2 linked regions of the Drosophila melanogaster genome follow. The protein of the gene in region 1 interacts with the protein of each later gene in a pairwise test. Each region holds a gene or a part of one and is shown on either strand. Other genes may lie near its edges. The genes, in order: GstZ2 and l(3)neo38.

What was found.
Region 2: the proteins of GstZ2 (region 1) and l(3)neo38 interact in a two-hybrid assay, tested with the Drosophila melanogaster proteins (2 studies listed by BioGRID).

Annotation. Positions count from the first base shown.
Region 1 is NT_033777.3:9,457,086-9,460,634, forward strand, and holds GstZ2 (glutathione S transferase Z2), read right to left. Parts: upstream 1,762-3,549; 5' UTR 1,733-1,761; coding exon 1,510-1,732; intron 1,449-1,509; coding exon 1,118-1,448; intron 1,041-1,117; coding exon 911-1,040; 3' UTR 562-910; downstream 1-561. UniProt on the Drosophila melanogaster protein: Catalyzes the glutathione dependent oxygenation of dichloroacetic acid to glyoxylic acid in vitro.
Region 2 is NT_033777.3:11,776,013-11,780,890, forward strand, and holds the start of l(3)neo38 (lethal (3) neo38), read right to left. Parts: upstream 3,117-4,878; 5' UTR 2,970-3,116; exon of another isoform or gene 2,846-2,969; intron 2,610-2,845; 5' UTR 1,667-2,609; coding exon 1,462-1,666; intron 1-1,461.

The sequences.
Region 1 (3,549 bases):
GGGTTGTGAGGAGACTCACACGGTCCAAGTTACATCAACTTGCTAATAAAATTACTGTGCACTTAATCGGTTCGCTTTGTATTTCGTCTATGTGCATTGGATTTAGGGAAATACTTCGTTAGTTAGTTATGCTTTCGTGGTATCAAAGAGGCATTACGAAATCCAGAACCATCGAATAGGTGATCGATTCTTTAGCTTAGTTCACATAAATTACTTAGGATTTATTCGATTTAGTGTATATGTAGCTTGCTTTAGTTTACTTATTGGTTGACTGACGTTTTGTACTTTGTGAACGATTTGTTTAGCATCTGCCCTTTGACTTTGACATGAAGTACTTATACATACATACATACATACATCGTTTATACTTGTAAATCTTCGATAGTGTTTCTAAATTTGGTTTTGGTTTTTTTTTTTTAAATCCCTGAATTGAATTTTGCTTTTCGTCGTGAGTTCTCCTTGAATTTGTTATGATTTGTTAGCCTAAATAAAATGCATAAAAATAAGTTACATTTAATATATATGAGTTCATCTTTTAGATCATATTCACAATGACAAACTAAGGGAATTTGAAGAATTTATTATACGATTTTTTGTTCCGTTTTCTGAGAATTTTGCGTTTGCGTTTGCGTTTGAATTTCGTGTGAGGAATTTCGTTATGTTATCGATAGTATTTTTATGCATTTATGCATATTTAAATGCTGTTAGCAATTTCTTAAATCACATCCGACTGTTTCTGCTTAATGGAATCCTCGCCAGCTTTGCCATCCTATCCAATCCATTCTCCATCGCCATCGCCATCCACGTGCCCACCGATCAGATTTAAGTTCTTAGTTTGTCTTGTGCCTGGTTTACGAACTGCAATTCACTTTTTCGTCTTACGGCGCTTTGCAGTTGGGGTCGGAAAATTCTATTTGTTGGGCAGCTCCGGCGGACAGTCCGGTTGATTGGAGGGATGGGCCGCCCGGAATGCCGGATTGCTCTCCAGTTCGCGATCGATGCGCAGAATTATGGGATACGGTCGCAAGTCGACGTGGAATCTGGAACGAAATAGGAATCAATGAATCAAGCTAGGCTTCAGCATCTCGAGATTTAGTTGATTTCGTATCATACTTACCTTCGGGCATTGAACACCTGAGGTACGAGGCAGCAGTCCGCCATGGAGATCTCATCGCCCACGCAATATTTGCCGGCCGAAGTGGACAGCGCCTTCTCAACCGCCCGGAAGCCTCGTGTAATCCAGTGCTGGGCCCACTCCTTCTTCTTCTCCTCGCCCACATGGATGAGCACGATGAGGTTCTGCAGGGGCTGGATGCCAGAGCAAATGATCTCGACTATTTCGCGCACCTTGGCCCGCTTGTGGACGTCCTGTGGCAGGAGTGGTCGCTGGGGACGTGTTTCCTCCAGGTAGTGCATTATGGCTACCGATTCGATGAGGGTGTGTCCATCTGATGGTGGATATGTGGTGAGTAAAGGAAGTTGACTTGGGTTTCTTTGGTAGATACTTACCAATCTGTAGGGCGGGCACCTGCTCCATTGGATTCACCTCGCGGTACTCATTGCAGTGCTGCTCGCCACCGGATTTGATCAGGCTGATCGGCTTGATGTCGTAGGGTATCTCCTTCAGGTTCATCGCAATGCGCACGCGCCAGGAGCACGAGCTGCGCCAATACGAGTAGAGTATTGGCTGTATGTCGGAGGAGGAAGCATTGGGACAGAGATTAGTAGACATTTTACCACAACTGGCCAGCGCCGAATGGCGTGACGGGCCCACAAACTCTATTACGAAATCTATTTATTCTAATTCGGAGACAACAAACAACACAAATAGCACAGAACAGGTTGCCGCTGATAACGAGTTGGGTTAGTAGGCGCACAACAAGCCTAGTCAAACTGGTTTAATCATTTGCATTTAGCGCGGCTATTTGGTTTACTTCGCGATAAGCCAGAGCACTCAATTACGCACTTATCGCTTATTTCTATGCACAGATAACAGGGATTTTCTCCGAGGCTCTCGGATGGATGTTTGCATATGTACCCACATGATTCATGGTGTCCAGACAGGAGCAACGCCAGCGATAGACTGACAAAAAGCACAGCGTTGAGTTCGACTTGCACCAAAAATAGCGCCCGACAACAGCTGCAAAGCAACAGTGGAGAGCTTCGGGCGGTCGAGGTGGTCGGTATCGGACCCTATACCATATACTATATATCCTAACCAAATGGCCGCCGATGAGGACGAGCCCTAAAATGATATACACACAGCTGGCTGTTCCGGCTTGGCCAATCAACCCAGCAGAGCCTATCGACGGGTCGTTGTCGTCGCCACCCACACGAAACTGTATTCACCGAAAGCATAATGAGTTCCCTAAAAGTTCAATGAACCCAGGCGAAAGTGAGGACGGTGGGTCCGATAAGTTTCGATATCCGACATCCTACATTCGAACCCCGAACCCCGAGCAGCGAGGTCCCGAGCTCCCGAGTCCCGAACTGTGTCGCACCCCAAGGTCGGCTAGGGGCATTAACCTTATTCAAGTTGTCGTTGTCCTGAGTCCACAGCGCGAAGGCAGCTCCAAGGACACAGGACCCCTACTCAAGAGAAAATTGGCTCAGAAGTTTCGCCATTCGCTTGGAGAGGGTGTGCTTTTTCAGGGGTTGCTCGGCCGTCGGCGCGTTAGAGTTTGAGTCAAAACCCAGGGGCAGGGTTGTCGAGTTCGGTCTAAAACTAAGCCATAAGTGGAAGGCGGGTTGGATTAGATGCCTCTCTGTTATAGCTTATATTTATTCCAACAAATGTAAAACAGTTATTCAAAAAGCCTTTTACCTAAATATGTATAGTGATTAAATCAAGCAAGTTTTATAAATTAATTTAAGCAAGGACAAATGTTTATATTCATTTATACAACCGGATTTTTGAAATTGAAATGCATATCCTTTTTTGCAACTTTTCGCCGCCTGACAACCCTGTTTTGCAACTTTTGCAGTGTGTACGCGAGGGAGGAGAGCTCGCTGTTCTGCGCAAAATCAAATTGCGGATTCGAAAGCGGGGTATGAGTGAAACTTAGACCAAGTGAACTGAAGTCAGAGATTGCTGGCCGCGTGGTATGAGTGATATTTGCGGGAACTGGAATGGATTTTTGCCAAATGCCCGAAAGAAGGCGCCAATGACGCTGGGATTCGCTTACCTTGGCTATGGCCGATAAGGACATAGCGTTGTGGTGGTACTTTGAGTAATTAATTTTGAAGCCGTTTGGTGCACACGCACAACACCGATGAAGAATTAAAAGAGGTTACGATCCAAGCCGGTTTATCGAAAAGCGACAATTACTCCTCGGATATCTGTCTATCCAGCTAATTCCGCACAATTCGATCTCGAGGATATGTTTTCCACCGAACGAACACTAAACACCAATTTCCAGAGATATGTGGCTCTTCCTGCGCACAGTTCTGTTTGTATTTGCAGCCGCTCAAATGCACTCAAAACCTCAAACTAAAACCGCTTGTGATTGCGCTTAGCCAAAGGATAGCGACAGGATATGAAGCCAGGAC
Region 2 (4,878 bases), 2.3 Mb from region 1:
AAGGCAAAGGCAGGCTCTCGTGGGTTGGGGGTTGTAACTCACACTCAAACACACACACACTCACTCACATACTCTCGCCCAACACACATACGTATATGCATTTAATTGTATTTCTATGTATGTGCTTAAGTAGCTGAAGAGAGCGGTGAAACCCACCCCTACAAAAAAACAAAGTGAAATGCAGCAAATTCAAAAGTTATTTGAGTTCATTGCATTTTCAAGCCACGCAAAACAACAACAGCCATAGCTTACACTCACACACACACAGGTTACACCCACTTGGGGGTGGGTGGTAATGACTCAAAACATAGAGCGGAATATTCGTATAAAAAGAGCGCAAAACAAAAACAACGACGAAAAAATCGTTAAATTCTGCTTTGATGACAGGGTATACTCGTACTCGTACTAAGTCGCTCCAACCCGCCAACCAACCCCCAAAAAATTGTAGTGCGGTTTACAAATTGCCTGAAGAAGATGTCTTTGCTAGCCAGAAAGCGAGAATTTCGTAGATGGGGGTGGAAAACCCGCTTACACTCACACATGTCTTTATGCGAATGTCAGTAAGTAGATCCAGATGGAAGCCACCTTTCGCTGGGAATTCAAGGAAAGTATTGTTCGAGTTTCAAGTGGGACTTTTTTTTTAGCTGAGTATTGGAAACGAAATTTTAACTAAGCTTCAGAGAATTGAAACTATTGAGAATTATTCATAGGATTGTCATAAGGTCCTACGATTTGTTTGAAGCAAAGTATGCTAAACAGAAGGTCAAATCAAACTTTATGTTGAGATCAATAAACCTCTTTGTTCGTGAACTCCAGAATATTATTGTAAAATAATACAGCTATAAGCAATTTGTATTAATTTCATTTAAATATTTTTGCTTACTCTACTTGCTTTTTCCTGCCGTCATGAATACTAAAATATGAACCAATTGGACAATCAAGAGGTGTTATTCACCGAAATTAGAGGTTGTATATTTTTTACGTTTTACTATTCTCATTTATGATGATCTTAATCATAAGTTATTGCAAGAAGTACCCGTTAGTTTTTGATGACTATCAGCAGCCCGTTTAGTTTATTTTTGAAAAAGAAGGCTATCCAGAAGTTGCCATTCCAACAAGAGTAGTGCCCTTTGCCCCAAAACAAGACCCTCTGTGTGTAGGGCATTAGGCGAGGCAGTAGCCGACCCCCTCTGCCACTGCCTCTGTCAACGACTCTGTCTCCCCACCACCACCGCCACTGTCGCTGCTCGAGTGAGAGTGTATACCCCCTGACGCTTTGACGCCGGCGTCGCTGCCCGCAGCGGGCGAAAATAAATCGATAAAAATAAAATAAATTTTTAGTGATTATGTTATACAGACACATGTGCCTGCATGTGCATTGCAGGCGATTGTCTGTCCGTATGTGTAGCCACATTGTAAATGTTGTATAGTATAGTGTAGTGGTGGGGCAGATGCACTTACCGTTGGGCACATTCTGATTAAAGTGATTGCCATTGGTCTGATATCGCTGCACATGGTTATCGGTGCCGGCCGCTGCCGCTGCGGCTGCTGCATTCGCGGCAGCCGCGGGGGGCGTGCCGAAGGCGCCCGGCGTCTGGGCGTCGAATTTAGCGGCAAATTGGTGGATGCCGGAGAAGGGGCCGCCGAACGCGGAGAAGTTCATCATGTCAGGATCGGGATGATCGGCGGGGTAATGGATAGTAGTTCTAGGGCCTCGAGGGGCCCTTTTGGTTTAAGCAAGACAATCTTTCGAATCGCTTTAGCACTAAAACTCGATCGGTCGCTAATATTACTTGCAATTCTATTTCTTTTCTTTTTTGTAATTATTTTCTGCACAACGCGAAACGATGACGAAGTGTTGTAGTGGGTGGTGGCGGTAATGGTAATGATGGTGGTGGTGCGCTGGTTGTGTGCCTTCTGTTGTTGTTTTCCTGTTCTCCGCCGTCGCTGGTGGGGGTTGGTTTTCTTTTCTTTGCCTCCTTTCCCCTGGTCGCACTCATACACTAGCACTCACACAGAGGCACATAGACACACGTACGCGCTTACGAGCGCACAGTTTTATGCTGTGCTTTGCTTTTTCGGGGGTAGAAAAGCAGAAAAGCGGGCCCAAACACAACACGTACACACACACACACACTAGCTCGCACACGCGGAGAACCACTTTCGGTTTCGATTTTGATTCTCGATTCCGCTGGATTCTGATTCCGATTCTGCTTCTGCTTCGCCTCAGCTCGAACTAAGCACGCACACACAACCGGCGGAACGGAGCGGAATCGCACTAAAGTCTCGCTTACGATTTCGCTTACGACCGGCTCGTCGAGGCTCCGACATCAAACTAAAAGTAACATTACAACGAGGCGAAAGAAAGCGGAAACACTGGGCCAGGCAAAGCGACGCGGACGCGGACGGCGGCAGCGCTGCGACGCAAATGACAGTGACAGTGCCCAGAGGCACGCTGGGTATATCGGTTGGGAGGTATTCGCACCCCTTTTCCTCGCTTATGGTTTAGATGGTTTTTAGTTTTTATATTTCGTTAGAGGGCTAATGGCACTCGTTTTCATCCAATCTCTCATGGTTACCTTTATCGGTAGTTTAGATGGGTATTTTACCTATAAGTTGATCGTTTAATTAGTTTTTCAAATTATTTAATACATATAATAAATAGAATGTTTTTAAATCAACCGATTGCTAATGATAATTTTACACCCCTTTTAGCGCTCCTCTTGTTAAATATATTTTTTTTAATTATTCCCAAGATCATGTTAAGCATTGGCAATGACCCCCCGCATTTACTGGGTAGCAACTATTCGTCTACCAACCAATTGCACGACTGCAGCATTCTTACATGTCTGTATTAGTTCGCTGTGTGTTTGTACGACTGTCTGTATGTTTGTGCGCTGTGTGCCGCTTTGAGGGTGGAAGTTTTTCTACTTCTCTGGAAAATGCGCGTTTATTTGAACGTTCCTTACATTTCGCTGCACCGAGTGTCGGGCATATGACACTGGTCCCAGGCCCCTGCTCCCGAAATTGGCTTGGTCACTTGGCCAGATTGCTGGGCAGAATATTCATGCGCGATCCGTGCAGGCGAAGTGCAATTTATGCTGGGACTGAAGCCGATACCGAGCTGATCCGAACCTCATAGCCAGACACGCAGTGAGACGAGCCACGAAATTCGCTGTAAGTTATCAGGATGAAAACCGGTTGGGAGCGAAGCATAAAAACTGGTTTCCAGCGAGAGATGAGCTACTTTTTGTGACCGCCGTCGAGGCAACAACAAATGTATTGACAACGTCGACCAGGATGACTTTTTGAATATCTGGATTTGGTTTAGGCACAGCAGAAAGGGCCATTAAGATTGCATTTATGTATTTTAATGGTAGGGAATAAATTTATTTGCATAACAAAATTCTGGATCTTGATCACTTTGGATGCCCTAAACTACTAAAACTACTATTGTAGTTCTTTGGAGGGTAAAAGGATAACCTGCTTTTAATATATTTCCTGATAATGGCTACCTTGTTGAAGAACATTTTTTAAAAATATTACATTATATCTGGGTTTGAATATAGCCTTTAGGACTCGAAACAATCATAATGAAATTTCTTATTAACTTGCAAAAAGGGTACTCATAGATCGACGTAGAGTGTCCACAAGAAAAACGCACATACAATGCGCCTTGTATTTTTATTTGGTTTTCCAACTTTTTGGGGTTGTGTGGTATGGCTGTGCACTTATACGTTTACATGTGAATATGTCAGTTTGTAGCGGCGTATGTACGATGTGTTTTCAAGTATCTATGTTTGGCTATATGCTTGTGTGCATGTATCTGGATCTGTTTGCCCACGGACATGTGTAGACGAAGGGAAAGGAGAGGCCGAGAGAGCAGAGCGTTCTCGAGCGCATTGCTCTCGTTGCATTCAATTCTGCCTCTGCTGTATGTTGTATTAATGAAAGTGAGTCCAGCGGCGAAAGAAAGCAGGCCGTGGAACTAAGACAAGTTCTTTTTTTGATTCCGCTTCTGCCTCTGTTCTCCTGCCTTCTTGCAAGTGTTTTCATGTTTTCCAAACCCACATCTAGGGGTTCGAGATCGGTAAAATAACTCCCCCTAGGAGTTTCGACCCATTTTCAATTAGTGATCCCTCTTCATTATGAATTTTGATGACAGATAAATACTTGTATGTACATACATATATATGTACATACATATATACCCCCATTTACATAAGCTTAATTAACGGAAATATTTCTATAACCTAGAGATATAATAATATGCGTATGACTTCTTTTTTTAATAAATTTAAGCAATCTCTATTTATAATATTAACATTATTAAGTAACAAAATAAATGCGCAGGAGACCGGCAAGTCGATTCGACTGCACCTTAATTTTTATGTGTTAATTCACATATACACGTGCACTTGCATAAGCGCCTGTGTGTGCATGTCTGTATGTCTTTTCTCATTCTTGTTTTTTCCTGTTGCAGTCTTGTCTTCTACTCGTTTAATACAGAGGGTTGGAGTTTTTTACGTTCTCTCACATTCTCCTTGTTTCGTCTCTCACTCACTTGCTCGTTCTCTCGTCTTCTCTCTTTCTGCCGCGCTTGAATCTTTGAATGCAATGCTTTGTTTAGCTTGATTTTCGAGCAATTGCAACTGTTACATGTGTTATCTAGAGTTTATATGCACATTTTCCAATTATTAATTACTGCCGATCGACGGAAGATACAAATATTCTGAGTATCGAATAATAGTTAGAAAACTCGATCACCGGCACTATCAAATATTTTGATACTCTCACACTCATGGGTACAGAATGTACCTGCAGATACTTCGATATACCGATGTACATATACATATGTATGTACATAGTTGTGCACAT